Linked DNA regions of Arabidopsis thaliana. The protein of the gene in region 2 interacts with the protein of the main gene of each other region in a pairwise test. Each region holds a gene or a part of one and is shown on either strand. Other genes may lie near its edges. The genes, in order: AT3G29270, AT3G19460 and YLMG2.

The links.
Region 1: the proteins of AT3G19460 (region 2) and AT3G29270 interact in a two-hybrid assay, tested with the Arabidopsis thaliana proteins (one large-scale study listed by BioGRID).
Region 3: the proteins of AT3G19460 (region 2) and YLMG2 interact in a protein complementation assay, tested with the Arabidopsis thaliana proteins (one large-scale study listed by BioGRID).

What each region holds. Positions count from the first base shown.
Region 1 is NC_003074.8:11,230,151-11,240,872, reverse strand, and holds AT3G29270 (RING/U-box superfamily protein), read right to left. Parts: upstream 6,701-10,722; 5' UTR 6,533-6,700; exon of another isoform or gene 5,636-6,532; 5' UTR 5,548-5,635; coding exon 4,756-5,547; 3' UTR 4,415-4,755; downstream 1-4,414. Other genes in the region: emb2076 (Pentatricopeptide repeat (PPR) superfamily protein), read right to left, coding at 748-918, 1,001-2,452; AT3G29280 (uncharacterized protein), read left to right, coding at 2,926-2,929, 3,010-3,168, 3,471-3,544, 3,638-3,717, 3,831-4,009, 4,101-4,168.
Region 2 is NC_003074.8:6,745,667-6,756,250, forward strand, and holds AT3G19460 (Reticulon family protein), read left to right. Parts: upstream 1-1,640; 5' UTR 1,641-1,933; coding exon 1,934-1,997; exon of another isoform or gene 1,998-2,246; coding exon of another isoform or gene 2,247-2,262; coding exon 2,263-2,443; intron 2,444-2,690; coding exon 2,691-3,004; intron 3,005-3,092; coding exon 3,093-3,238; exon of another isoform or gene 3,239-3,324; 3' UTR 3,325-3,663; downstream 3,664-10,584. Other genes in the region: ATCAD4 (GroES-like zinc-binding alcohol dehydrogenase family protein), read left to right, coding at 271-498, 586-1,025, 1,116-1,339; AT3G19470 (F-box and associated interaction domains-containing protein), read left to right, coding at 4,100-5,248; AT3G19480 (D-3-phosphoglycerate dehydrogenase), read left to right, coding at 6,924-7,434, 7,517-8,004, 8,081-8,176, 8,313-8,984; NHD1 (sodium:hydrogen antiporter 1), read right to left, coding at 9,209-9,328, 9,453-9,747, 9,840-10,142, 10,256-10,317.
Region 3 is NC_003076.8:7,238,171-7,248,404, forward strand, and holds YLMG2 (YGGT family protein), read right to left. Parts: upstream 4,711-10,234; 5' UTR 4,596-4,710; coding exon 4,290-4,595; intron 3,913-4,289; coding exon 3,710-3,912; coding exon of another isoform or gene 3,706-3,709; intron 3,671-3,705; exon of another isoform or gene 3,427-3,670; coding exon 3,180-3,426; 3' UTR 3,031-3,179; downstream 1-3,030. Other genes in the region: AT5G21900 (RNI-like superfamily protein), read left to right, coding at 69-749, 828-1,264, 1,362-1,523, 1,613-1,688, 1,769-1,924, 2,046-2,168; AT5G21910 (uncharacterized protein), read left to right, coding at 2,619-2,957; PAA2 (uncharacterized protein), read left to right, coding at 4,959-5,580, 5,679-5,756, 6,129-6,226, 6,313-6,366, 6,487-6,573, 6,662-6,826, 7,195-7,305, 7,447-7,515 and 7 more. UniProt on the Arabidopsis thaliana protein: Not required for the biogenesis and accumulation of native cytochrome b6 in the thylakoid membrane. Not functionally involved in the pathway for covalent binding of the c-type heme to cytochrome b6.

The DNA.
Region 1 (10,722 bases), 4.5 Mb from region 2:
GACTAAGATTATTAAGCTTAAAACCATAACTAAGCTCACTACCACTACCGTTGATGTTGCCATTATCACCTTCGACAAGCTACTCATCTTGTAACTCTCTCCGTGGGGTGGTAGTGTACGCGCAGAACATAAGAGGAAGAGAAGTGTTCTCTGTTTTACGAGCTTGAAGTTAATTAAAGATGAGAAGAGAGGAGGAATCTAAAAGCTAGTTAGGAGGATTAGCATCTGTGTTGCATAAGCCAAGAAGCTTAAATTAAACTTGATTTGCTTGTGACAAAAGTTATCATCTGTTTCTTGAACAAAACATCCTTTCAAAAGAAAGACAGATTCATGTTTTCTTTTACAGTTTTACACTGATTCAGTTCACATTCTGTTTTCTAGTGTTTCAAAATCGCTACTTGAGCGTGCCATGACGGGAGGACAAAATTATCAGCACACAAACCTCACTGCCTGAGAATGAGATCTAGCTTTCTAGTGTAGTGCCGGGGCAGCAGCCTTATATCTATGGATCCAAACATCTGTATCCAATGTTAGAAACTGGGCACGAGCTATGTCATCGCCAAAACCTTTGATCTATGTCCACAACCTCATTTATCAAACAAACATCACCATCACCAGAACATTCATCACAGTGAGTATGCATACAATGCCTAATTACAGACCAATTGTTTTAGTGAATTTTGACTTATGATACTTGGCAGTTGGCAAATGCAAATAAGTATGAGTAGATAACGTACAATTATAACCTTATTTTTGGTGTTTCTTCAAATTCTGTAACATCATAGCTCGGGTTTTGCCATCCGGTTCTAAACCCATCTCTCTCATTTTGACATACAGCTCTTTTGCAAACTTGAACTCGCGTCTCAAACACATCCCATGTATAGCTGCATTGTAAAGCGATACATCGGGTTCCACTTTCTGTTCAAGAAAACAAACAACATTAGACTACCTCTTCCAAACCACCACACATTTGAGTAACAAACATAAAGAAAACTCGTACCTTAAGGATATCTTCAACCTCGTCCCAAAGGGAACCCCAAATACAACTCCTTACAAGCGAAAGATAAGTAAACGTGTTTGGCTTACAATCCCTTTGAGCCATGTGCTCATATACTAGCAATGCAACTTTCGATTTTCTTGATTTTTCGCAAGCGCTTATCACTAGATTATATGATGAAGTTGAAACTGTTAAACCCGAACCTTCCATTTCATACAAAAGCTTCACAGCTTTCTCCCAATAACCAAGCTTTTGGCATGACACCATAGCTGTGTTGTACAAATATTCATTTAGACAACACAGGTTTTCGCTTCTTATCATATCAAACAGCTGAAGAACATCTTCATATCGGTTTGCTTTGTATAAAGCCGTGAGCAGCGCATTCCACGTGTACTCGTCTGGTTTATGCCCCAAGGATTTTAAAACACTGTAAACCTTAAACACCAATCCGACTTTACCCGCCTTTCCCAGCGAGTTTATCAAAGTATTGCAAGCTACAAGATTAGGCTTCATCCCTTTCTTTAACATACTCTGAAATATCTTTAAGGCCAAATCCCATTTTTCCTCCTTTGTACACGCACTTATCATCGCATACATTGCATCCTCTCTCAGAGATATCTTGTTGTTAACCATCTCATCATACACATCAAGGGCCAATTCACTTCTCCCACACCGAACAAAAATGCTAACAAGCAGAGAATATGTAATCTCTGTTCCAATATGACCATCACCTTTCATAACTCTCCATATTCTCTCTGTCTCATACACATTATTTATCCGTCCACATAGAGAAATCGCAGTATTATATAGAACCACATCAAAACAACTCCTACGTTTCGGCTCCCTTTCTAGTTCTCTAAACATTCTTAATGCAGACTCGCAACCCTTAACTTCTGCAACAGCTTTCAACATCAAACTATACGTGTGCCCTGTAACATTCTCCTTTTTCCTCATGAACTCAAAGACGGTAAAAGCTTTCTGAATATCTCCATTCCTCAAGAGGCACGAGAGAAAAGAGTTACAGGCATGAGCATTAGGTTGTAAACCCAAGAATCTCATAGAATCAAACAACTCCAATGCGCTTCTGACTTTATCCAACCTGCTAAGTTTCCGAAGCCTCTTCGATAAAGTTTCTTCGTTCCGCTCCTCTAGAAAATGTATCCTATTCCTATCCCCTGCAGTCTTCTCCTCCAGTTCCAAACCACAAACCACATTTTCACCGTTGAAAGAACTGTCTAATTCACTACTCACCTTCCTGAAACACATGTTTGGTGTTGCCAAAGAAAAAGACTCCATTTTTACACCTAGACGCCTTCGTTTAGGCTTCATGGTCAATGTAAAGTTCAATGAGTGACTCAAAGACCAATGAAAAGTTCTCAAAACACAAGAGCTCTGCTCAATTAAATAACATCCACAAACCAATTGAGAGACATGACTCAACCAGACAGCTCCCATGATAATACAGTGAAGAGCTAAACGCAGCAATCTCTAACACCTCCAATTTCAACACCGAGCAGAGAGAACTTGATCTTTTAGCATAATTCAGACGAAATCTGAGAAACCATTTCCTATTCAACAAAAAGTTGACAACTTTAGTAATACCCACTTCAAGTCTAAGCAAACAACCCCTAAATTTCCTTAAACAAAGAACATAAGCTACGTAAGAACCAGTACCTAAGACACGAAACCAAGCCAAAGCTCTGTTCTTTTCGCAGAAATGATGAATCAAAGCTTGTTCTGTGGCTGAGGAAGGAGAAGAAGATACATCAGAGACAGAGAGTAAACGACGTAGTTTTAAGCTTTGAAAAGAGAAACGACGTCGCTTAAGGATCTTAAAACGTTCTCGATTTTAAGTAGTTGAAAACACCCTAAAGCCGAACACTTTGGTAGTGAATTAAAGAATCGATTTCTCTCTCTCTCAAGCAACAATGGGTAAAAGTTTCTGGCTTTATTTCGAAACTGTTTCTTTTTTGTTGAATGATGTTGTTGTAAAGGAATTGGTGTAATTGCAGATGAAGGAAGAGAAGGAGAGATAGAGAAGAAGAAGAAGAAAGATGAAGAAGGAGAAGTGAAGGAAGGAGTAGCATCAATAGCTTTGTTACCATGTGGGACTATCTCTGGTCATTTCATTCAGATGCCTAGCTCTATCTGTTATGGCCTCCATGGCACTGGTAACTTCAAATCTCTTCTTACTAGGGCAAACCAAAAAAATGTGGTCTTTTCTCTTTGTTGAGTTTGATTCTGTTTTGCAATTAGATGTTTTGTGTTCTTGCTTGGATTTGATAGAAATGTTTGGTTCTCAAGCATGTAAATGATTCAGATTAAAGACTTAATCTTGCACTAGTTACATCTATTGATACTGGAATGATTGATAAAGATCCAATGGCTTAGTTACTGTGGCAATTTTGACATGACATTGCTTGATTTCACTGCAATTTGTTGTATTATTGATGTTGCTTTTCTCTGTTTAAAGAACTAGCTTGTGAGACTGAGTGTAGCCGCGGTGAGGATTATCGGTTGATCAAACTCACTATCATAGACTACAATGTATGATTTTCTCACTTCCTTTTGTGATTCTTAACTCTTAATTTCCAAAACCATGATATTGAGTTTGTTCCTTGGTTTCTTTTGGTGAAAAAGAGAAAGAAGGAACAAACAGTTGTAGTGGAGTGCAAAGGCCATGATGCTGCTCGAATTAATGATGTCGAGCATGCTCACGGGTAAGTTGTCCTTGTTCTCGTATCTGTTATGCTCTTAGCTTTTCGGAGAAAACATTCGAATGAGTTGAATTTGAAAACCTTTTTGTGAGAGTCTTTTACTGTCCTATGTTTAGTGAATATGACTACTTGTCTTTGGAAAGGTGGGAGGAAGATGTGATAGGATTAGTCGAAGAAAAACACGGGAAGAAGAAAGTATCGGTTTCGTTCGAGTGTGAGACATTGAAGGCAGATGAAGCAGCAGAGGACCATATCAGACAGTTTATGCCCAAATTAGCTGGACTTGATGCTGTTAGTAAGTAAAACCAACACTTTATTCTTGTGCCATTCTCATTACATTTATGTTGTCTTGTTTTGTTGAATCAACACACCGGGGTTTTTGCCAGTTAACATTGGACCGATGAAGATTTCCGGGCTTGATTTTGCTGCGGTGGAAGAGGGACACATAAACTAAGACAGCTTAACTCTTTCTTTTTGTGTATACATCATATTTGAATGCTCTTTGAGTCTTTGTTTCATATCGTAGAACACAATTAACGCTTTAAGCTCAAATGATCTAGACTAGAACTCATAGAAAACATAAAAGAGAAATAACCGAACCGAAACCAAACCGAAAAGCCGTACACCCACCCCTAATTTTGGGTGTCATCTTTTGCTTTCTTCTATGGAAATGGGTGGAACAAACAAACAAAAGAAAAAAAAACCCATACAATTTAGTCATTATATATAAGAAAAATCAATGCATTTAGTTACGCAATTCCTAAATAACATTGCATAAACTTTATATACATAAATCTTATTGAGACACTCAAACACTCACAAACAAATCCACAAATACTAATAAGTTTCTGCAAGAGCCCTTACAACACATACGTCCAGCTTCGTAGAGCAACAATGCAATCCAAAACTACATCCATATATAGATAAAGAAGACGGTAATTACGAAATTGTTATACTTACATGACCGATCTTGGGTCTCAGTTGTTGAAGAAAAGTCGTCAAATTAGGAATGGGAAGTTTCTGAACGCATCCTTAGAAAGTTCATGTGACAATCTCTCGAACAAGCCAGTCGAGACAAGGATAAGCGAAGTAGAGGATGAGAAACGACGGTAGAGCCAGCAAGAGAGTGACTAGAATGTACATCGCCAATATGGCTGCACTGGTCGGTATTGCATAGAGTATTATCAGCAGAAATATGACAACTAATGGGAACTTTGCTGTCAACTGGACAAAGAAAACCAGAGACTTCCTCAGTGAAGTTTGTATGTTGTCCCTTGGAATGCGATGATCATTAACAGAACGTGATGGTTCAGGTTGACTGCGATGATGGCGATTGTGGAGACATGGAGATGGAGTTTCCCTTGTATGATCATTGTTTCCATCTGTTTGAGCTCCACCAGGTGAGTTACGTCTCTCTCCATTCATCCTCTCGACCATCCAAAGCACAAAGTAGTTCTTGTGAGGGAATCTGAGTGTTCCTCTGAAGACCAGACGGAAAGACAAAAGGTTGCACCAGGGGCATGAAATGAAGAGAGGAAGCTGAACCGGGTGAGTAGGCAATTTCACAATAGCCCATTGAAGTCCCAAAATGCAGTTTTTACACATCGTATGTCCACACCATAACACATACGGAACGTTTTCAACTATATTAAATGATTCCCAGCATATAGGACACTCGAGACCTTCGTCTTTACTACCTACAGAAGATACATCGTCATCTGAACACTCCGCATGAGCATGGACCGGTCTTCTGATATCGTTTTTCGGTCCAATGTTTCCCGTAAGATAACTCGATGCTAGATTCCACATTCTAGTATCAGGGATGGATAACATGAATACCTTGTTTGTCACTAAGACCTAACCAGTTCTGCTAATACTTAACTCTCTGACCTTCATGAACACCGAACTCGATGCTTCATCGCTTCATAAGCAAAGAGAAAACACATATTAATCCTTCAAAGACAATCCCAACGACACACCGATGCAATTCCAACTAAGAATCAACTAATAAGATTAAGTGCTACATTGAGCAACCATGGTAACACAAATCATTAAGAACCTACTATACAGCAAGATTCAATTTTTATGATCAGAATCGATATTCGAACGCTTTAACTTGTATTAGAGCTCAAAGCTCGACAATTTCATCGATAAAGGGGACTCTTTTATCTTTGAGCCAAGTTTACTCACCGATGCAATTCTAACTAAGAATCAACTAAGATTAAGTGCTACATTGAGCAACCATGGCAACACAAATGATTAAGCAACTACTATATAGCAAGATTCAATTTTTATGATCAGAATCGATTATTCGAACGCTTTAACTTGTATTAGAGCTCAAAGCTCGATCATTTCAGCGATAAAGGGGACTCTTTTATCTTTGAGCTAAATTTACTCACAGATGCAATTCTATATCAGTAGCAACCAACTAATAAGACCAAGATTTAGTGATACATTAAGCAACCATAGCAACACAAATGATTAAGAAAACCCTAAATAGAAAGTTTCAATTTTTATACTCAGAATCGAAATCAGACTCTCAGACTTGTATTAGACCTAAAGCTCAATCATTTTCAGCAATAAAGATGATTCCTTTATCTCAAAGGTTATGACTTTATCCGATACAGAAGATCCCAATATAAGATTAAAGGAAGAAAGAGAAAACCCTAAAATCAAAATCACTAAATGAGATAATTGATCACAGAATTAAGCAGCTAACGAAGTAATCGAACCTAGATAGATAATTGAAAGGACAGAGCAATCAAATGGTTCACAATAACCGAAACTAAATCAGAGTGATTTAGATAAAGATTCGTACCGATTCGACTCTGCTCTGAGCTTTTTGTTTCGTACGTGAAAGAAGAAGATGCTTGATTCGATTTTTCCGGCGAGACCTAAACTTTCTGGGTTTTGTTTTGCTTTCATAAACGACGTCGTTTCAATCGTGTACCCAAGTTTTCCTTCCAAAAGTGTTTTTGATATTTTCTAACGTAAAAACTTGGTTAGTTGTTTTTTTATAAACATAATAACATTACCAACCAAAACATTTACGCTTATTGAAGATTAAGTAAACCTCTGAAAAAATAAAACACAGAGCGGTTAATTTTATTAATATAATTTAATAGAATTTTGTATTATAAGTTATTTATCAATTCAATTTTTTTAATATTTTAAAAAGAATAATAATAAATATATTAAAAAGAAGAAATATGAGAAAAAGAACAATCACGAAAGAAAAATAATAATAAAAGAAACTTTACGTTGTTTTTTTTTTATCTATATGAGTGTATATAGATAAAATGCAAATGGACTTAATATGTAAATATTTCTTTAATTTTTGCAACATTCTTCTCGTCCAGAGTTCATTTGTCATTTATCTCTTTGCGATATCTTTCATGTTGTCTCGTTAAAACTTTTCTAATAAAATCCATTGGTAGAAACCACAGTAAGGTAAAAAAGTATAATCATACAAGCTCTCCCTCGAATGACTATGGACATGGGGTGCAGGATGTTCGACATTTTTTCTTGTTACCATGTAATAATCATTGAATGCTTGAGACGTAAATTCACCAACGTTATCTAATCTAACTCCTTTGATTGGATAATCAGGAAACTCAGCTCTTAGTTTTGATTATCTGAGTTAGAAATCTCGCAAATACCACATTTCAAGATGATAACAAACAAACATGTGACCATCTACTAGACATGTCTATCATTACCATGAAATAATATAATGGTATACATGGTGGGTGTATAGGTTCACAAATGTCGCATTTGACTCGTTCAAGGAATTTTGGTAATTCTTTATCGATTTTGCTTGTCGATGGCCTTATAATCAATTTTCCAAGAGAAAACGTAACACATGTCCTTTTATTTTCTTGATAAAACTCTTAGGGTTTCATTGAATGTCCATGTGAGCTTTTTATAATTTTTTGCATCATCGTGGTGCCTGGGTGACCAAGGCGATCGTGCCACAATGTGAAATCATCATGATCTCTTTTGATAACAAGATGTGATCCTATTGAATTAATGTATGTATGATGCAATCCTGATGGGAGTCTTGGTAATTTTTCCAAAACGTGTCTTTTTCCCAATTTTTCAGAAGTGATATACATGTACTTTTTTTCATTCTCACTTGCACACTGAGTGTCATATCCATGAAGGTATATATCTTTGAAACTCAACAAATTTCTTTTTGAATTTGGTAAAAATAATGCATTATTTATCGAGAACTTTGTCCCGTTAAGTAATGCAAAATTTGTTTTACCGGTCCATTCAATTAAGTCTATGGGACCTGATATTGTGTTAACAATAACTTTTGTTGATTTCAAATGAGAGAATTTTTTTTTTTGTTTTAGAATAGTGTGTGTTGTTCCACTATTCGGTATGCAAATATCTCTAAGGTTTGCCTTGGATACCATTCCATTTGTAATGTGATCCATTTCTGAAATAAACATAATCGATTAAGGTAAGTAGAAAATAAATTTATTAATCAAGCATATAACACCCGATAATTATACATGATAGGTAACACAAGCACACAATAATTACACATGATAGGTAATACAAACACACAAACTTAGGAAATTTCAAGCAAGCGTCGATTTATTTATGACATATTAATTCGAGCCCCACACGATAGAAATTTCAGTTTTCCACAAGGACAACCTCATCGAGATCATTAGCAAAGTCAGAAGCATCAAGGTGGGTTGTACCCTCAGAATGTTCCGCAAGGTTCACTTCCTTTCCTTTTCCCTTAACAGATTTTTTGTACAGAGCACAAAGGTGTGCTGGAGTTCGGCATACCTGATACCGATGTGCCTTAGGGTCACATCTGAAACAAGCACTGTCACATTTTTGAAAAGTATTTGCTTGGATTTCTTTTCCTTTCGATTCATGCTCAGGACGAATCTTTTGGTATGACTTCCTGGTTTGTGGATTAAAGCCTCTTCCACGTCTGTGATAGCTTCGGCGCCCCGTCCCCAAAAAATTTTGTTTTCTCTAAGCGGATTTTTAACATCCAATGCATTAACCTCAGGGAATGCCTTTGATCCGGTAGGTCGGGACATGTGATTCTTGATTAGGAGCTCACTGTTTTTTTCAGCTATTAAGAGTGCCACAATCAAATTTGAGAATTTGGTATATCCACGCAACCTATATTGTTGTTGCAAAGTAATGTGGTTTTTGTGAAACGTGGTGTACGTTTTCTCAAGCATCTGAGATTTAGTGATAGTTTCACCACAATATCTCAGTTTGGCGACAATTCCCAACTTGGCAAAATTGTAGTTCATTACCTTGTCAAAGTCTTGAAACCTTAGACTTTGCCATTCGTCTCGGGCAAGTGGGAGAGTGATGTCCCTTTGGTGATCGAAACGATCTTTCAAATATTTCCGGAATTCTTTAGGATCTCTCATGTGTGCATAGTCATATATGACACTTTCATCCATTTGTCTTATAAGGAAGATCACCGATTTTGTCTTTTCTTGGGCCGTCGAAGAATTATTCTCCTTTATAGTCTCCGTTATCCCAAGGGACTCCAAATGTATCTCAACATTAGTAAAACTATGGTGAATAAAATATTAAATAAAATATGGTGATTAAAATCATCCATGTTAAAACTGTGAAGTAGAGTATTAAATGAAATATGGTGATAAAAATTATCCATAGAAACAATAAGGGGGGTGTATTGAAACTGTGATTTTCAAAAAATTTTGGTTTTATTACTGGTTTTGTCTATCCTTGCGAAAATCCGATATTTTGCTTCACAAGTTTCCAACTACTAGACTTGGGCATGAATACATACAAAATATGTTTGTTGAAGATCGCGATCATTTTCGACATTTGTATCGCATGTATCCAGAAGAATTCCTGAAATTATGCAGTATATTTTAAGTGAAGATGGGTTTAAGAGATACAATGAATGTTTCAGTTGAAGAAATGCTTGCTTCCTTTTTGTTCATCATTGGGCAAAATTTGAGGTATATCCAGGCTCAAGATAGATTCAAGAGGTCGAGATTCTCAATAAGTACGAGCTTTAATACAATTTTGAAGGTGTTAAATGTATTTGCACCAAGCTATATGGCTAAACCTACACTTGTAGTGCCCACGAAAATAAAAGACAACACAAGATTTTATCCTTATTTTAAGGTACGTGGTTATTTTTTTTGTGTTTATTTCTTTTAAGTATTGTAAATTTTAACCATTAAGTTTGTTATTTTCTTAGGATTGTGTGGGCGCTATTGATGGAACACATATCCCTGCAATGATAACAGGAAAAGAAACAGCTAGTTACCGTAATCGAAAAGGACAATTATCACAAAATGTTTTGTTGCATGCAATTTTGATTTAGAATTTATATATGTTCTAAGTGGATGGGAAGGTTCAGCTCAAGACTCAAAGGTATTAGATGATGCCTAAACAAGAAACACAAATAAATTAAAAGTTTCTGAAGGTATCTTGTTTAGAATATGACAAAATAGTTTTTTTTTGTTATTAATTTGTATTTTATCCTACTTATATTTTGTGCTTTAAATTACAGAAATTTTTTTATTTAGTTGACTGTGGATTCGCCAATTGTCGTAATTGTTTTGCTCTATTTCGAAGTACTCGGTATCATCTCCAAGACTTTAGAGGACAAGGAAAAGATCCCAACAATCAAAATGAGTTGTTCAACCATCGGCATTCTAGCTTGCGAAACGTAATAGAGAGGATTTTTGGAATCTTCAAATTAAGATTTCTTATCTTCAAATATGCACCTCCCTTTCCATATAAGACACAAGCAGAGTTAATATTTGCATGTGTTGTTTTACATAATTATCTTCGTAAGGAATGTCGTTCGGATGTGTTTTTCCTAAGAAAGATGTTCTCGAAGAAAATGGCATTGATGAAAGCGGCGATGAGAAAAATAAGCGTATGAAGAGGGTCAAGGTACTCAAGAACAACAAAGAGTACTTGCTAATAATTGGAGAGCAACAATAGCAGAAAACATGTGGACATATGTTATAAATA
Region 2 (10,584 bases):
ATACCCATTATATGATGCATGTTGTTAAATGACTTTTGTGGTATGACAGAAGATTTTGGTATAAAGTTGACTTGACATTATTGTTAATTTGAAGATAATTGAACGTGCTACTGTTACACATCTGACATTCGTTTATAACCACACCTGTCACTGTTTAGTCTTCTAAATTAATATGCAAACAAAAAACTCTGTCAATGTGGGACTTGTAGGGGTAACTGAAATATACGAGTAAGATTCCGTAATAACTAAAAGTGTAATTTTGATTTACAGGCACGAGGTAGTAGGTGAGGTGTTGGAAGTGGGATCAGATGTGAGCAAGTTCACCGTAGGAGATGTAGTCGGAGTCGGCGTGGTCGTTGGATGCTGCGGTAGCTGCAAACCATGCAGCTCAGAACTTGAGCAGTATTGTAACAAGAGAATCTGGAGTTACAACGATGTCTACACCGATGGAAAACCTACTCAAGGTGGCTTCGCCGACACCATGATCGTCAATCAAAAGTAAGCACACGCACACACCTTGTTTCACAAGAAACACACAGAGCATTTGTTTCTTCATCCACAAGTAACTTATTTTTGTTTCAAAAGGTTTGTGGTGAAGATTCCAGAAGGAATGGCGGTGGAGCAGGCTGCACCGCTACTCTGCGCGGGAGTAACGGTTTATAGTCCGTTGAGCCACTTCGGTCTAATGGCGAGTGGGCTTAAAGGAGGGATTCTAGGGTTAGGTGGAGTAGGGCACATGGGTGTGAAGATAGCTAAAGCAATGGGACACCATGTGACTGTGATAAGCTCATCAGATAAGAAAAAAGAAGAAGCTATCGAACATTTAGGAGCTGACGACTATGTGGTGAGCTCTGATCCAGCAGAGATGCAAAGACTCGCAGATTCCCTTGACTACATCATTGACACCGTACCGGTGTTTCACCCTCTCGACCCTTACTTGGCTTGTCTTAAACTCGACGGGAAATTGATTCTCATGGGTGTTATCAACACTCCTCTTCAGTTCGTGACCCCTCTCGTCATTCTTGGTCAGTACTATTTCTTGCGTTTAAATCATATCTAGCTAATAACAACAAAATTCAATAGCAAACCTGATGTTTTTTTCTATATTTTGACAGGGAGGAAAGTGATATCAGGGAGCTTTATAGGGAGCATTAAAGAGACAGAAGAAGTGTTGGCTTTCTGCAAAGAGAAAGGGCTTACGTCGACGATTGAAACTGTGAAGATCGATGAGCTTAACATTGCGTTTGAGAGGCTTCGCAAGAACGATGTTCGTTACAGATTTGTGGTTGATGTTGCAGGAAGTAATCTGGTGGAGGAGGCTGCAACAACTACAAACTAAAGAGGGCAGGGCACATTGATACATGAACGAAAAATTGTAACGGGCTTGTTTGTCCAACGAATGTTTTGTTGTTGTCTTTTTCAAATGGTTCAAACACGAATGCTTTGGCTTTATTTTTTTCTAATCAATGTGGATTTTCTGTTTACGTGTGTTTGTCACAAGAAAATCATTATGATAAGAATTTTCTTCCACTTGAACTCAAATTTGTTAACAATTCTGAATCTGAATTATGGCTGACACCAATTGAAACTGAGAACCAGTTTAAAGTGATTATAAAGAAAAGTGAAATCTTTTTATTGCCAACCAACTTTGGGCTAAGTATTAAAAGAAAATAATACTTTTTTGATAAGAAAAAAAAAAGAGGAAAATAATTTGATTATAATTAAAATCTAAAAACTTTTTCGCGGAAGCGTTAAGGAAAAATCTTTGATCTTTGGAAAGGAAGAGAGCAGGCGCAATCGAGTAATCCAAAGGAGTTGCGTTGTTCTGCGATCACGAAGCGGTCTCTCGGCAAATCTTTCGACGCAAGACATCGATTCGTGTATTTCATTTTTGCTTTGGAACTCTATGCGGAAGAACCCTAATTGATTCGCCATGGGAGATTCCGTTTCTTCTTCATCCCGCGTTTCTGTTCATCAATCTCTTGGTGCTGGTTCTGGTCAGTCTCTCTATTCGATTTATTGAAGCCTATTTTGGCTTTTCTCGAGTTTCGCTTTCGATTCAATCGCTCTAGAGTTTCGCTCTATTCGGAATCTGGAATGTTGCGTTGATTGGCGTAAATTGAGGGTTTTGTTTGATTGTTATGTGCATTTGGGGAATTTTTAAACTTGATCATAATTATGAACAACAATTTCACGTATTTGGAGACATTTAGGAATCTCTTGACTCGTGACTCTTGTGTCCTTAAATGCAATTTTTTGCAGTTGCTGATTTGCTGCTATGGAGAAACCGGACTGGTGCAGTCATTTTGCTAATCTCTTCTACTGGGTTTTGGTTCTTATTCGAGAGAGCTGGATACAATCTCTTGTCTTTCGTCTCCAATGTTCTGCTTCTTCTCGTTGCGATCTTCTTCTTATGGGCCAAGTCTGCTACAGTTCTCAACCGGTAAATCTCTGCTTATTCTATTCACTGCATTGTTGTGGAAAAAGATGAAACCTTTATGCGGCATTGATGGATTGTGTTGATAGTAGAGCTTGCATTAGCTTCTTCTTTGTTAAGTTACTGCTTCACCATTTGAAAGAGACTATTTTGGAGCATAAAAGCTTATGAATACTGGAACTTTGCTTTGACAACCCGAGTCATGTGTGTTTTTATTCTTATAAAGTATACAACTGATGTGGTTTTATTTCAGACCGCTACCTCCAGTTCCGAATATGGAAATCCCTGAGGAGTTTGCAAATAAGGCTGCTGATGATCTTCGGGTTTGGATCAATTATGTACTGTCAATTGCAAGTGATATCACCATAGCTAGAAATCCGATTCGTCTCCTTCAGGTTTTCTTTCATCACTTGTGGCAAACCATTTGTTGTATCTTTTTGTTTCTGCATGTGATGTATCTCACTGTTCACATCTCGTTTGTTTTTGCTGTGAAACAGGTTTCTCTTGTCTTGTGGGCTATATCCTATGTTGGGACTTTAATCAACTCCCTCACTCTTGTTTACATTGGTGAGCGTCTAACCTTTTCTTGTCGGTTATATAGTCTATGATCTTGGTTGATATGATTAACTAATGTGTCGCTGTTTTTATCTTGCAGGAGTTCTTCTCAGTCTTTCTTTTCCTATTGTGTATGAGAAGTACCAAGACCACATTGATGAGAAAGTGAACTCGACTTCTAAATTCGTTCGAAATATCTCAAGGAAGTTTCCATTGCCCATAAACAAAGAGAAGAAACATCAGTAGGTAGTGTAAGTAGTCTCTGATGAATTGATCCTTTGTGGTCCGAGAAAGAGTTAGTTTTCGACTGAGGTTTTACTGAAACGCTGCAGGTGAAAAACAGTCCATTTGGTCACCAGACTAATTACAGCTACAAGAAGGAGCCATTACTGTAATGCTACAAGAGGATAGTCAAAGAGCAGCGGAAAAAAGTGAATCACAGTACAGATTTTCGTTCATTTCTTTCTGTTTCGCTTACTAGGAGTTTTCTTCTTGTGTGTTTTTGTTGTGTTCAAGATTCATGAGTTTCTGGTTTTTTTGGTCTTTTAGTTTACACGAATGCTTTGTTGCAGTATTGTTCCAGTAGAAACGAGAAAGATGAATCTAATACAACTTGAGAGGTTATTCAATAATTAATTTGTTGATTATTAAAGATTACAGTTACAGTTTCAACCAAAACAAAATGTGATATATGTGCCTAGTCGTCTTATCTCTCTCTCGTTCACATTGGATAGGCTTTTGGGCTTTTAAAGTCCACTTTCAGTGAACATGGACCCGATTGAGCTTTATGGGTTCTTGTTTGTTTGTTCTGTCGGTCGTGATTCCTGAGGATAATTGATCTTTTCTTCTTTGTTAACCTAAGTTATTTGGGATTTGCTCTTGTTTTGTTCTGTCTTAATCGAATCCTCAAGGGATTGTGCCGTGACTGCCGTCTTCAATTGTTTTATATATATCGAGAGGCCGAAGAAATCTGTAATCACAGACAGAGGAAAAATAAGAATAAGGTGCAGTTTTTTTGTTCTTTGTTGTTATTTAAGAAGATTAACGTAAATAGTTTCCGACATTAACTAGTTTGCGTTACATTGGTCCTGGTTGATAATGAAGAAGATGTACAATCTTCCAAGAGATTTGCCGGAGGAGGTGCTCTGTAGAATTCCGTTGACATCTCTGAGGCCTGTCCGATCTACTTGCAAAAAGTGGAGCACTTTATCCAAATGTGGGAGCTTTGCAAAGAAGCACCTTGCTCAAGCAAAAGTACTAGCAGACGCAAAGGAGTTTATGGTGGTCTTGATGATGAATTTTAGGGTTTATTTGATGAGAGTCAATCTTCAAAACAACGTTGTTGAATCATCATCATCATCATCATCATCATCATCATCATGTATAAAACGTGAAGCTAAACTTATTAGCTTAGGCGATGAAGAAGCTGATATATCTCAAGTCTTTCACTGTGACGGTTTATTGTTATGCATCAGCATCACCGAATCCAAGACTAGGCTCGTTGTTTGGAACCCGTATTGGGGGCATACCCGGTTATTCGAGCCCACACATCAATTCAACAAATTCGATAGCTATTCGTATGCTCTCGGATACGACAAGAGCCGCAAATCCCACAAAATCTTGAGGGGTATTACTTGTTTGGATCCCTTCAAAATCTACGATTTTAACTCTGACTTATGGAGGGATCTTGATGTAACTCCGGAGTGGCACTTATGGCAAATGCTCCATGGCGTGTCTCTCAAGGGAAATGCCTACTGGTTTGCTAGAGAGAATTATACCGAAACAATGGACACAGACCATTTTTTCTTACTCTGTTTTGATTTCACAAGCGAGACATTTGGGCCGCCTTTGCCTCTTCCGTTTGAGTTTGCTGTTTCTGAAGATACTATGAGTGTATCTAGTGTTAGAGAAGAGCAGCTTGTTGTATTATATCAGCCGTGGGATTATTTACAGTTGGACATCTGGGTGACGTCTAAGATTGAGCCCAACGCTGTGTCGTGGAACAGCAAGGTGTTCTTATCAGTGAGTTTAAAACAACTCGTCAGCCCTCAGTTTCAGTTAACTTTTGGGAGTTTCTTCATCGACGAGGAGAAGAAAGTCGCTGTGGTTTTTGATAAAGACTACGATAATAAGCGCAACATAGCTTACATCTTTGGAGTGGATGGATCCTTTAAAGCAGTTGATCTCGGAGATTCAGACCGAAAGTGTTTTCCACTTGTGTGCTCTTATGTTCCAAGTCTAGTGCAACTTAATTAGTCGACCATCTATTCCTTGCTTACTTTTTTTCTTCCTCTTTTGTCATCTTCTTTGAACAAGATCATTATTTGTTAGTCAATAACATATTAACTTGTTTCTCATACTTGTTTTTGTTTGCCATATATATTTGAATTCGTTTCCAAATGGTGCACACGCTCCTTCCCCTGCAGCTAATCGTTTGTTACTTTCAGTCCCCTTAAGTTGGAGCAAACTGTATGCTTCTTGGTTGGCATTCTCCGCGAAAGCATGCATCGTTTCTTCCAAGAGTCTTTAGGTATTGATAGTTCATCGTTTTCTTTTTCTATTGTAACACAGTAGCAGTTAAAGATAAGTCGAACGGGTGATCTTTTTGTTCATTAGACAAAACTAGAGAGGTTTCTCTTCTCTTTCTTCTAGTAAGGAACAAGGCTAAGGTTAATAGATAGCTAGCTATCTGAGATATCTCACAAAAGCTTTCACTATGGCCCTGTACTATATCAACTTCATATTTTAGGTGTTTCATATTTCAGATAAAATGTGCTCATATCTTCTTCCTCTTTGTTCAGCGTCTTCTGCAAAAGTGATATAGATCTTGACATGCTGCTAAAATACCTCTTGATATATTTAGTTTTTCTTACCAATTTAAGTTATAGCATAATCCTTTTATCATGTTAGTTATTGTTCTATCCTAATTGTCTAGCATGGAGTAGAATGATTTTGAAGCAGGGACTTGTAGAACGATTTTTCGTGTGCCACAGGTTTACTCCCTTCCTTAATGTGGTGACCAGCGCTTGTCCTTGTGGTCTGTCCACTCATTCTGCTATCTTTCAACGAATATCACAAAATAATAGTGGTTAGTATGTCTCATATGATTACCTTAAATTTAGCGGCTACTGACTGATGAATCATGAGGCTTTACGCTACTACTATTTCTCTTGTGTTCCACAAGGCGTTTCCAATACTTGGTGATATCCTCCAACGACATCTGCCTAGTATTTTGACCTTGCCAGTTGCCAAATCAATTAATAAACCCTTCACCAGAAGATTCTTACTACATCAAACAATAAATAAAACTAAAGTTTGACTGGAAGAAGAGTTTTGGAACGTTAGACAAATTTTCAGCATTTGACGATATGAAAGATGTCTAAATCTAAAGAAACAGAGATACAATTCTTTCAATATTATATACTTGCTAACTATCAAGAACAGGCATGAAAAAATAAAAATATTAAAAAAAAATACATATTACTATATAGAATTCATATGTCATCGATAACTTTTACATTATTTTTTACAATCCGCCTTACTTAAACGCGCCTTATCTAATAGATATATAAATGTATCTCTATTTATATTATAATTTAATTTAAAATCAATATAAAAAAATGTGTTTTTTCAATTTTTAAACCACATAACCTAATAGTATAATATTTGATATATTATTATTTTGTTTTAAGAATGTAGTATATTTGTATTTTATTAGCAAAACCATTATTAAATTGTAACTTTTTTTTCTTCTATATAAAGTTTCAAAATCCACTTAAGAAGTGAAGATATAAGTGAACAAAGGATGTAGCGTAATCTAGCACAACATATTTAAACCTCACAAAACCCACCCGAAAGATGAACCCATATCTCTCTACTCTGTTGCTGACGATACATACACCTTTACTTACATTATATTCCCGCCATCGCGATGGCGACGTCTCTGAATCTATCATCGATCTTCTCCTCCTCCTCAAGGCTCGTCACCACTCCCTCCTCTGTTTTTCCCATCCGTCAGAGGCGACGGATCATCCTCGTTACGTCTTCTTCTTCCGGAGGTGGAGGAAAACCGACGATTCTCGTAACGGAGAAGCTAGGCCAAGCGGGGATCGATCTGCTTAAGAAGTACGCTAATGTGGATTGCTCTTATGATCTGAGTCTCGAGGAGCTTTGTACGAAGATCTCTCTTTGTGATGCGCTCATCGTCAGGAGTGGTACCAAGGTTGGGAGAGATGTGTTTGAATCGTCGCGTGGGAGGCTTAAGGTTGTTGGACGCGCTGGTGTTGGGATTGATAACGTCGATTTGGCGGCGGCGACTGAGTATGGGTGTTTGGTTGTTAATGCTCCGACTGCGAACACTGTGGCTGCTGCTGAACACGGAATTGCGCTTTTGACCGCCATGGCTAGAAACATTGCTCAAGCTGATGCTTCTATCAAAGCTGGTGAGTGTTTTAAACGGTTGTTGAATTTGAATAGCGATTTGAGAAATTGCGATGTGAAATGTAGAAATGTGGTTGTTTGTAGGCAAATGGACGAGAAACAAGTATGTAGGTGTTTCACTTGTGGGGAAGACTCTTGCTGTTCTTGGTTTTGGTAAAGTTGGATCAGAGGTTGCTAGACGAGCCAGGGGACTTGGTATGCATGTCATTACACATGATCCTTATGCACCAGCGGATCGTGCACGAGCTATTGGTGTGGAGCTTGTTAGTTTTGAAGTAGCTATTTCAACTGCTGACTTCATCTCTTTGCATCTGCCTCTTACTGCTGCTACTTCGAAGATGATGAATGATGTGACCTTTGCGATGATGAAGAAAGGAGTCCGTATTGTTAATGTTGCTCGTGGTGGAGTTATTGATGAGGAAGCTCTTTTGAGAGCGCTTGACTCGGGTATTGTTGCTCAGGCAGCTCTTGATGTTTTTACAGTAGAGCCACCTGTTAAAGATAATAAGTTGGTGTTACATGAGAGTGTCACTGCCACACCTCATCTTGGTGCTAGTACTATGGAGGCTCAGGTATTACATACTGTATATTCGTTTTGCCTTTAGTGCATTTTGTTCTGCTCTCCTGAAACCTTTACTTGACGCCTAGGAAGGAGTGTCTATCGAAGTCGCAGAAGCTGTTATTGGAGCTTTGAGAGGAGAACTTGCTGCTACCGCGGTCAATGCACCAATGGTTCCACTAGAGGTAATTTCAGACTTCACTATAGAGTCCTTAATTCAGGATCAAGTTTCATTCTTCTAGTTCTTGGTGATATTGCAAGTAGTGATAATGATTTGTCCTGCAAATTCTCTGACACTGTTCAGTTGCTATCTGTTTTCAGGTATTGAGGGAGCTGAAGCCGTATGTTGTACTTGCTGAGAAGCTTGGGAGGCTGGCTGTACAATTGGTAACTGGTGGAAGCGGTGTGAATGCTGTGAAAGTGACTTATGCTTCTTCCAGAGCTCCTGATGATCTCGACACTAGACTTCTCCGAGCCATGGTCATAAAGGGGATCATCGAACCCATTTCCAGCGTATTCATAAATCTGGTTAACTCCGATTATATTGCCAAACAACGTGGAGTCAAAATCTCAGAAGAACGTATGGTTCTAGACGGCTCACCTGAGAATCCAATTGAATACATAACTGTTCGGATAGCAAACGTGGAATCAAGATTTGCCAGCGCTTTATCAGAGTCCGGTGAGATCAAAGTAGAAGGCAGAGTGAAACAAGGGGTTCCAAGTCTTACCAAAGTCGGATTATTTGGAGTGGATGTGAGTTTAGAAGGGAGTGTGATTCTGTGCAGGCAAGTAGATCAGCCTGGGATGATCGGTAAAGTTGCTAGCATCTTAGGAGATGAAAACGTCAACGTGAGCTTCATGAGCGTCGGTCGAATCGCTCCAGGCAAGCAAGCTGTGATGGCAATTGGAGTAGATGAACAACCAAGCAAAGAAACTTTGAAGAAAATCGGAGACATTCCTGCCATTGAAGAGTTTGTTTTCCTCAAACTATAGGTTAATACTTTACATGGATGCACATAAGAAAAAACTCAGAGATCGATATAATCTTAAATGATGATTTATTCTGTACTAATGATACAATCGAGTGTACATGAAACAAATTACATAGTTGATTTTTTCCAAAGCGGCATGTCGACGAAGTGATGTGTTATTGTTGCAGCCAGCCAGGGATTTTTTCTTGTTTTCTCAGAGAGAAGAAATACAGAGATTGATGGAGCCTATGAACCAGTGAGAAATGGGATCTGAGCCACAGTTGTTGGGATCTCGAAATGAAGATTATGAACGGCCAGATAAGCTGCGATACCAGCAGCATAGCCAGCAAAAGCAAAACCACTAACCTGCATGGAGAAAAAAAAAAAAAACTGAGTTTCTTGCGCAGAGCCACAAGAGTATTGAGTTTCAGTCTGGTTAATGCAATGTTGTGTTGTTGATCGTTAGACAAGCCGGAAGAATGTATCTTACCTTTCGGAAATACCAAAAGAAATCGACTTTCTCCATCCCCATGAAGGCTACACCAGCAGCAGAACCAATGACAAGCATCGAACCACCAGTGCCGGCACAGAATGCAATGAGCTGCCAAAATTCAGAATCTTGAGGGAACGATGTGAGATCATACATCCCCATAGTCGCTGCAACCAGTGGAACATTGTCTATGATTGCTGATACAACACCGATAGCACTTGCAATGAGCTCAACGTTGGGTATATTGGCATCAAGGTAGTTTGCAATCTCCCGGAGTATCCCAGCTGCCTCAAGGCTGGAAAAAAGGAAAACAACATCAGAAAAGATTGTGAATTCTTAAGAGTAATGGAACATAAGGAGTTTGGAGATGAACAGTTGATTTAATACCTGCTTACGGATAAAAGAATCCCGAGGAAAAACAGAGCACCTTGTGTGTCTATTCGAGATAAGGCTTGAGGTACTTTGAGCTTTTGTCTTTCTGATTCACCGTAATGAATGGCATCTGTCAAGATCCAAAGAACTCCAAGACCCAACAAGATACCCATGTAAGGAGGCAATCCAGTTAGAGCTTTAAAGACTGGAACAAAAACCAATGCTCCAAGGCCAACTCCAAAAACTAGCTTCCCTCTTGGAGCCATCTTTTCAGAAGCCAATACATCTTTAGGATCCTGTTCCTTTCCATTTACCTCACTGAGAAAGAAAAAAAACTTACATCAATTAGCATATACATTGCAAACATTTACGAGACAGTTGAAGCCAAACATAGTCTCCTTTTTCGTTTGAGGATGCAAGAAGAACTTAACCTGGTCAAAGACATGAGGGCTAGTGGAACAGCAAGAGACACAACCGAAGGTAGAAAAAGGTCCTGAAAGGAATGTAAGTAAACCTCCATCAAGAACATCAAAGTTGGAGTGACCAAATAGGGGAATACTTTAACCACTTTTGTCTATACAGTTCAAAACACTTAGAGAGCATGCCGAGTAACAAAACCAGCTGTCGTACCATGATCACGATCAGAGGCTCCAACAAAAAATTACGACATTAAGTAACTTCAGAATCACTGGTGCTTTAGCCAACCTTTACTTTCTTATTCTTTCTGAGTCAAATACAGGCAACTCCACAAATTTTCAAT
Region 3 (10,234 bases), on a different chromosome or scaffold from region 2:
TTTAGCCCAATTGTTTTTTTTGTTCTTTCGTCTTCATAAACAAAACCCTCTCTAGCTGCAACCACACGATGAATTCTTCCGATTTCCCCAACGATTCTCGAGAAAATCGTCGAATCAACACCGATGGAGAAGCGATCGATGCACTTTTCATGGCGACGGAGGAAGCTGTGACTCGTGATTTCCTATCAGGGTTTCAAAATCAAGACGTGGAGATGGAAGAAAGAAAAAGCACCGAAGCAGACGTTGTTAAAACTGGTTCAGATTATTGGCGTGATTATGAAGTTAAGAGAAATTTTAAAGCTGCGAAACATTTTGCTCTTGAATTGCATTCAGATCTCAAGATTGTTGAAAAAACGGAGGAAGAGGTAGAAGAAGAAGTAATAAGAGATGAAGATAAAAGTGAGTTTCGAAAAGCTAAAGAATCGATCAAGAAGAGAAGACAAGAGATCTCTACAACAAGTGATATGGAGATAGATCTGAATGTACGAAGGAAAGCTCCTTCGCTTGTGGAGCTGAGTGCGAGAGTTCTTGCTCAGAATTTTTTAGCTATCAAGTCTTTGAAACTTGTTCCTGATCACTTGAGGAAGAAGCTCTCGTATCTTGTTAGTGGTTTAGGTGAATTCGATACACGTCTTATGGAGCTTTTGATTGAAGATTCTCCGAGTGAGATTTGCGCTAAGAACTGTGTCCAATTAGTGGAGGATGACTTGGTAAAGATCTTCTGTGACTGTGATAGAGTTAGCTTGAAGGTATATTAGAATCCATTTGTTATAGAAGAAGTACTTTTGGTAGCAATCTTTGTTTGTGAAAGTTTCAATCTTTTGCAGGTGTTGATTCTTGATCTTTGCGGAAGATCGATGACGGATTATACGATAAACCAGTTCTTTAAACGCGCGCCTAACGGATTCCCGTCATTGACTACGTTATCTCTTCAAGGAGCGTTCTGTTTAACAGACAATGCATTGTTGTTGATATCGAAATCATCTCCTCTGCTTCAGTATATTAACCTCACTGAATGCTCTCTTCTCACTTATCGTGCATTGAGGATTCTTGCTGATAAGTTTGGTTCAACTCTTAGAGGGCTTAGTATTGGTGGATGTCAAGGGATTAAAAAGCATAAAGGGTTTAGTAGCAGCCTGTATAAGTTCGAGAAATTGAACTATCTTTCGGTTGCGGGACTCGTTAGTGTTAATGATGGTGTTGTCAGAAGTTTCTTTATGTTCCGTAGTTCGATTCTCACTGATCTATCTCTCGCTAATTGCAAGTAAGTTACTCTTTTTAGGCCTTGATATACCAAATTCATTACCAAGTTTTATGCTGAAAACTAATGTTTTTTTTGCTTTCTCTATAATGGTAACTAGTGAGGTGACTGATGAATGCATGTGGCATATTGGGAGATATTGTAAGAAGCTAGAAGCTCTTGACATCACAGACTTGGATAAATTGACTGATAAGTCATTAGAGTTTATTACTGAGGGTTGCAGATATTTGAAATCACTCAAACTTACAAGTAACAGATTTAGGTTCGTACAAGTCTCCCAATTTGTTCTTTTTGTACATAACATCCGTTGAGTGTTCTGAATATCATCAATGTATGGGATTACTTTGACAGTGACGAATGTATTGCCGCGTTTCTTGAAGTCTCGGGAGGTTCTCTTAGAGAACTCTGCCTAAACAAAGTCCGAGATGTGAGTGTTTTTAGTACCTAAAGTCTTGTTCATGTTCAAGTTGGTTTTCGAAAGTGTTTGAGGAGTTTTGTTTTTAACAGGTTGGTCCAGAGACTGCTTTTTCGCTTGCCAAAGTTTGTAAGATGTTACAATTCTTGGACCTCTCGTGGTGTCGGAGACTCAAAGAAGATGACCTAAGACGGATTTTGCGTTGTTGCTCGTCACTTCAATCACTCAAGCTATTTGGATGGACGCAGGTATGATATTATAGAGAAACCTGTAATTCAGGTTACACTGGTGCCTTTTTTTGTTTATGTTGAATTGAACCTTGGGGTGATCTGTGTCAAAAGTACTTAAATGACAGTATTATCGTTGTAGGTGGAGGATACATATCTTGAAGAACTTTCAAGATCAGACGTTCATATTACCGGATTGAAACTGACTTCACTCTATGCTCACCTTGATAACTTTTACCCAAGTGTAGGTGCCAAGTTCTTCTGATGAGTAGACAACTGGCGTTTGTATATATAGCTTTGAATTGATGACCTTTCTTCATTGTTAGACCAAATTATAGCTGTTGTACAGGTTCATAGTAAAGAAAAAAAGATAGTGATATATGAACAATGTTACAATGTCTTTTAGAATCAGCTTTTTGTAAAAAGATTGAACTAATAGAAAGAGAAGAAAAGTTTTAAGCATATGATCCCTTGGAATATTTTTAGCAGTGTGTGGTCACAACTGTTCACCAGAAACGAAAGAATCTTCTTTCTCTCTTCTCTTTTTGAGTAAATAGCTAAACCATACCATCTAAACGGCTTTTTGAAACAATCCTGCAACTTGTGTTCAGATTCTTACCAAGAAACAAGCCATTTTAGTTCAGATGAACACCAACCGGGGATTGTAAAGAAAGTTACCAGTTGTTTTTATATATTTTGTACTGGCATTTTTCTGATGGAAACGGGATCATCCAGCCCGATGATGGGGAGGTTTACTACTTCCAGGAAGCTTTTGGCCATAAGCTTGTCGGTACTAGCCGTGCTCTCACCACTCTACATCGACAGATTATCAGAGGAAGATCTAGAAGAGGAAGAAGAACTCTTCAGCTTTATGTTTTCCTTCTCTCTGCTTCTCCTCTTGTTGATTTTAGCCATAGCCTTGTCCTTGTACAGTGACCCGAGCTTGACCAGGTTTGATCCTTACTGGATTCACAGGCTATGTGGTTCGTTTGGTGGATTGCTTGTCATCCTCATCCTTCTTGTTTTCGTCTTGATATGCAAAGCCTCTGGTTAGAATCTGAGCGAAAGTTGTTTTGATGCCACAAATGAAGAAGAAAAGCTCATCTCTTGCAAAATTTTTACAATATTTCTGTATGTCAGGAACACAACTCTTTTATTCATTTTCTAAAGAAAATTTATACAAAACTCAGAAATCCAAAGATACAGAGTAATAAAATTACTCGAAAGGTAGATTTTACATTTGAAGCGCAGAAAAGAGTAGATATTTTAGACAGGTTCAGGTCATAGAAGCTGAGCTCGGTCTGTGGTCTTTGTGGCTGCTCAACCTTCTCCTTCTCACCCACTTTGTCTCACTAGAAGCTGGAGAAACGGCTCCATCAGCTGACGGGAGTTCGCAAGGAAGTGCCATAGCCGAGCTGGTGAAGGCGTTGAGAACAAGGAACGCCAAAATGGGAGACAAATCTAATCCTCCAAGAGGCGGTATGAATCCCCGGAAAATGTTCAAGTATGGATCACATAAAGTGCTGAAACAATGGTAACGCATATACACATAAATAGGAATCAACTAGGGTTCCTGGGCAGATCAATCAGGGTTTAACCAATCTTTAATCCATTTAAGAGTTGGACAAAAAAGTAGTAGACAGAGTTTATCCAAAATAAATTTCCTCTAAATCAAGTAAAAAGACTACCTTCAACAATCACGAATAGGACTTCTATGATCTAGATTTTGTTTTCATGGATTGATCGAAAACTTTTAAACCTGGATAAGATATAAAATCATTGTGGCATTTGAAGGCAACGTTTTACCTGAGGGGGTTAACAATGGCAGGAGGAGCACTCGGGAACCAGGTGAGTACTAGACGGACGACAAGGATGGTGTTATATATGTTGAGGAAATTGATCAAACCATTAGCAACCACCAATCCTGCAACTGAATCTCCAGGCAGAACCGCTGCAAATCCGTGATTAGACATCGCAAACCTCACCCTTGTAGTGTTTCTCAAACGAATCTGCAATGCAACAAAATGATCTTCATCTTTAAGACATAAAGAACCCAAAACCAGAAGCAAAGGCACACAAAATCATAACCGGACTTATCCAGAAGCCAAGTTTCATCTTTACAAGAAAAGAACCAAAAAAGATCCCAACTTGAGGACATATATAACTCAGGGTTATCAATGTGAGAAGGTTTTCCAATAAATGCTAAATGATCTAGACAACAATCTACTGGCTGTTAAAGAATGACCCATTTTGTATAAATAGAAACCACAAAGATTCACCCATTACAGTAACAATCAGAGCCAAGGCAAGTTCATGAGAAACACACAATCATCTTCTTAACTTAATCCATAACATTCTTTAGCATAAGCAGGCTAAGAGAAGTTACCTCGTCGCACAAAATGTGAAATTCGGAAGATAGGCGAACCGCTTCCTGAAAGAGAGGGTTCTTAGAGGCGAGCGAATGGAGGAATCCTTTAAATTTCTCAGTAGCAGAAATCAGAGACTGATGAAAGTCTTGAATCAATTTGACGGAGTCTGCAACTGGTGGTAGAAGAAGCAAATTGGGTTTGTTCGAACGCACAAGAGGTGTTTGCGTAAATGCCGAAGAGAGCGATACGAAAAAGTTCGGTATCGGTCCTGAAGGATTGGATTTCAAGCTTTTCATAGCTGGTTCATTCGCACTCGCCTCCATTGTTGCAAAGCTCTAGATGTGTTGTAGAAGAAGAAAGCTTGAGAAGATAAAGTTACCTCCAAACAAAAAACAATATTTCAGGAAGATGACACGTGGCATCGCTGTGTCCCGGGGGCTGTAATCCTCTAGCTGAGTTAGAAGGTCTTACCTATTAAAACTTTGCGTTTTATGTCTCTCTCTGATTTTTCTGGTGACAGCCTGGCTTTTTAAAAATTCCACAAAAATGGCTAATGTTCGGATATATTCCAAATCCGACGTGTCAACGTTTAGCGATACTCTTTTTAACGAACCATACACCAGTCCACCACTAGTTTCTTACTTGTATACATCGCGTGACTATCGTCGTCTGTCTCGCCGGAGAAAATGGCGAGCAATCTTCTCCGATTTCCTCTTCCTCCGCCATCGAGTCTTCATATTCGTCCAAGTAAGTTCCTCGTGAACCGATGCTTTCCAAGACTGCGCCGTTCTCGTATCCGGCGGCACTGTTCGCGACCTTTTTTTTTAGTATCAAACTCGGTCGAGATAAGTACTCAATCATTTGAATCTACTGAATCTTCAATCGAATCTGTGAAATCCATTACGAGCGACACGCCTATTCTCCTCGATGTGAGTGGGATGATGTGTGGTGGCTGCGTCGCCCGAGTTAAATCGGTTTTGATGTCTGATGATCGAGTCGCGTCTGCTGTGGTTAACATGCTGACTGAAACCGCGGCTGTGAAGTTTAAACCGGAGGTTGAGGTGACGGCGGATACGGCAGAGAGTTTAGCTAAGAGATTGACAGAGAGTGGTTTTGAGGCTAAGAGGAGAGTCTCGGGTATGGGAGTGGCGGAGAATGTGAAGAAGTGGAAGGAGATGGTAAGTAAGAAAGAGGACTTGCTTGTTAAGAGCAGGAACCGTGTGGCGTTTGCGTGGACATTGGTGGCTCTGTGTTGCGGGTCTCACACTTCGCATATTCTTCATTCCTTGGGAATTCACATTGCTCATGGTACATTGATTATAATGCAAAAAAAATTGTGATGCTAGATGTCATTTGTTGGATAAGAGATGTAGTTTATGACTTTCTCTTGCACCTGATGTTACTAGGAGGGATTTGGGATTTGCTACACAACTCTTACGTGAAAGGTGGTTTGGCCGTTGGAGCTTTGTTGGGACCAGGAAGAGGTTTGCTTTTGTTTAAACTTTTAGTTCGAATCTATGATTCTTACCAGCTAATGCATAATAAGTTTAGTAATTAGTATCATAAGAGAGAGATGACAAAGTAGTCGTTCTTAGGCTATTGTTTAGACTTAGATAAGTGCTAGTGTTCTACTCTGATTATATAGGTGAGCTTTGTTGAATCAGTTCTTCTTATGGATAATGGTTAGCTTAATTGAGTCGTCGTTGTCATAAGAGAGAAACTCTGAATTTTCAAACTTCTTAAGTGATAGTGATGGTTCCTACTATTCTTTGCGACTTTCATAACAAAGTGGTGGTAGTGATATTTGAGGCTGTTCGGAAACACAAATGACTGAAACAGATAGATGTATATTGTAGAATTGCTGTTTGATGGCATAAAAGCTTTCGGGAAAAGATCACCTAATATGAACTCGTTAGTTGGATTGGGATCCATGGCTGCATTTTCCATCAGTTTGGTGAGTTTTTGTACCCTGTAATTTATATTTGACTGGTGAGTATCCTATTCTGAAAACCTGCAGTTTCTGCATTCTGAATTTTGCAGATCTCACTAGTTAATCCAGAACTGGAGTGGGATGCTTCCTTCTTCGATGAACCGGTGAGTTTCTCTAGCAGATCCACAAGAGGATGAAAGCTTTTTATTATTACTTCCACTACATGCAAAATACAGTTTCAATAGTAAATTTCTGATTGATAGCTCTTGTCATTTAGTATGCAGGTCATGCTGCTTGGCTTTGTGCTCCTTGGTCGTTCTTTGGAAGAAAGAGCAAAGCTTCAAGCATCTACCGATATGAATGAACTATTGGTATGTTAGACATTTCTTGATTCTCCTCCCAAGATTAACTTGTAGGCTTTTTCCTCCCTTTTTTTTGACTTGAAACGTATTTTTGCAGTCACTCATCTCCACTCAATCAAGACTTGTGATTACTTCATCAGACAATAACACCCCAGTGGATTCTGTACTTTCCTCTGATTCAATTTGCATCAATGTGTCAGTTGATGATATCCGAGTTGGAGACTCGCTATTGGTTTTGCCTGGTGAGACATTTCCTGTCGATGTAAGTGTTTCTGTCTTTCTGACATCTTACGATTTCCCTAGTTGCTTATCCATGCTGAATTGTCTGATCATAGCAAAAGATAATAGTGTGGGTTTCCGAAAAGAGTTATGAAAATCTATCTAAATGGTTGGTAACCATCATTCTGCAATTTTAGGAGTTCTATTTCAATTTATCAGTGCTGAGAAAAAAACATGTGGATCTTTCAGTTCTTTTTGAGATTCAGTTTAATTGCACATTCTTCTCTGCACGTGATAATGGATATTATTTTTTCTTGCTCAAGATAGCTTGGTTATAATCCTTGTGACTGGTTAATGAGTAGTTCTGATTCTAGTAGTGATATTATGTTAAATTAATCACTTTCTTCATAGGGGAGTGTCCTAGCTGGAAGAAGTGTTGTAGATGAATCTATGCTGACAGGAGAGTCACTTCCGGTGTTTAAAGAAGAAGGCTGCTCAGTTTCAGCGGGAACAATTAACTGGGTAAGTATACGCAACCTAAACAAAAGTTTATTTTTTTAAAAGGCTACTTATGTAACTAACTGTGCTCAGTTACTAAGTTAGATTTACATACACTGATCATGAATCTTTTTGAATAACTGAATCTCACTTTACCTATTTCAGGATGGCCCTCTACGGATCAAAGCTTCTTCTACTGGTTCCAACTCAACGATATCTAAAATTGTCAGAATGGTTAGTGTCTATGAATCTAGAGCCAATGAAATGTAATGAAAGTTACATTGTGTGTGGCCAGTAATCTATGTAATTTGTAGCCGACTTTCCTCCTCGAAAACAGAAAAAGAAAAGACAGCAACAAATAGAAATATCATGAATGAGTCACAATCCTACAAATAGAACTCATTTACAAGTTTGTAGCTGAACCTAATTTCATACGGGAAAGTATGAATGAAATCATGTCAGAACCCTCAGTTCCTCTGTAGTGCGTCTTTAATTCATCACACCCTTTCTTTTCTGAATTTTAAGGTTGAGGATGCACAAGGTAATGCAGCTCCTGTACAGAGGCTGGCAGATGCAATAGCTGGACCCTTCGTCTATACTATAATGTCTTTATCTGCAATGACGTTTGCCTTCTGGTATGGTCCTCTTTTCATATTTCTAACGGAAATAACATGAAATTTCTTTTAAGAGTCATATATTTATTTAGCAAGGCTATGTTTATTTAGTTATAGTATAAAGTAGAAATGTAGAAGTATCATATGTCAATTACCTGTTCTGGATCAAGTGAAAGACCCATGTTTTCTTGCTTCAGGTATTATGTCGGTTCACACATATTCCCAGATGTTTTACTCAATGATATTGCTGGACCTGATGGAGATGCTTTGGCCTTAAGCTTAAAACTGGCTGTGGATGTCTTGGTGAGTGAGACATGCATCTCAAAGCTATATCTTTCATGTGAAAATATCATGGACTAGCCGGACTTAACGAGGGAGGAAAATGGTGATTGTGGGGAAAATGTGAATTCACGAAGTGAATGTAGGATTAAATTCGGGTAGAAAGAAATTTTGGAGAAAGAAAATATTGAGCAGATAATCAACTCGTTTTTTTGTGTGTATCAGGTAGTTTCCTGCCCCTGTGCACTGGGCCTTGCAACACCAACTGCCATATTAATTGGCACCTCTCTTGGTATGTTATCCAGCGTATTATTTCTCTTCCGCATAAAAATCTGCAAACGTAGCTGAGAAGAGTAACCTAATTTGCGTGCAAAGTTTTCCAATTATTAGGAAGATTCGAAACTGACACTGAAGCTACCATTGTTCCTGTTCTGTGCTTCCCTGCTGACTAGTGACTAACCTGATTTATGAAAAAATATTTTTTGGTTTTAAAGTTCTGTCGTTGATGGCGACTTTAGTTCATACATGAAATTACTAAATATGGCCTAGAAATCATGAAGAATCTCCCTTCTAGTTTCTGTGGTGTCGTACGTGCAGTCCTTCTGGTAATCTTTCATGTTAATAGGGGTAGTTAAGCATTATAATACCTTGTAATAAGCAACAATAAATTCGAGATTATTGAAACTTTCAGCCTAAATATGTCCAGGAGCAAAGCGGGGATATCTTATCAGAGGAGGAGATGTTTTAGAACGTCTGGCATCCATAGATTGTGTGGCTTTAGACAAGGTATTGCGAATCATTTGGGCTTCACCCATCTCTCTCGCTACTATCTCTTTTTTATATGAAGATGGAAAATTCTAGAAAATAAGATAAGTGTATGGGCAGTTCCTGTTACCCCTAACCCCTCAAAGTTGAACAAATCGAGTTATTGTTTCAGACAGGTACTCTTACTGAAGGAAGACCTGTCGTCTCTGGTGTTGCTTCTCTAGGATACGAAGAACAAGAAGTTCTTAAAATGGCTGCTGCGGTGGAGAAGACAGCAACACACCCAATAGCAAAGGCTATTGTAAACGAGGCTGAATCTCTGAATTTGAAAACTCCAGAAACAAGAGGCCAATTGACAGAACCAGGCTTTGGTACTTTGGCAGAAATAGACGGACGTTTTGTTGCAGTGGGTTCACTTGAGTGGGTTTCTGATCGTTTCCTCAAAAAGAACGACTCCTCGGACATGGTGAAGCTGGAAAGTTTATTGGATCATAAATTATCAAACACATCATCAACGTCTAGATACTCAAAGACTGTTGTTTACGTTGGCCGTGAAGGAGAAGGGATCATTGGTGCTATTGCAATATCCGATTGCTTACGCCAAGATGCTGAATTTACTGTAGCCAGGCTGCAGGAGAAGGGCATCAAAACAGTCCTCTTATCAGGGGACAGGGAAGGGGCAGTGGCAACTGTGGCAAAGAATGTGGGGATTAAGAGTGAATCAACCAATTATTCCTTGTCTCCTGAAAAGAAATTTGAGTTTATATCTAATCTTCAATCCTCTGGACATCGTGTTGCTATGGTAAGAATCTTCAATCAATGAAGTTAATCCTAGAAACGGTACCACACCAACTTTGTCGTACATGGATCTTCCCCTCAAAAAATCATGGCATTGGTGTGTCAAAAAATCATGGCATTGGTGTGTTATAGAGAATGGAATTAGTAAGGCTAACGGCATATTTTGTGTTTTTCAAAGGTGGGTGATGGCATAAACGATGCTCCCTCGTTGGCTCAAGCTGATGTTGGAATAGCTCTAAAGATCGAGGCACAAGAAAACGCTGCATCAAATGCAGCATCAGTCATACTTGTCCGCAACAAACTTTCACATGTAAATGCTTCAGGAGCCACTTTTCCTCATTCAAGGGACCATAACCAAACCTGAGAATTTCTCAACTTCAAAATCTAAGCTATATAATAAGCTCATCACTTGTGGTTTTTTTTTTTTTTGTGTGGTTATAGGTTGTGGATGCACTGAGTCTTGCACAAGCAACTATGTCGAAAGTATATCAGAATCT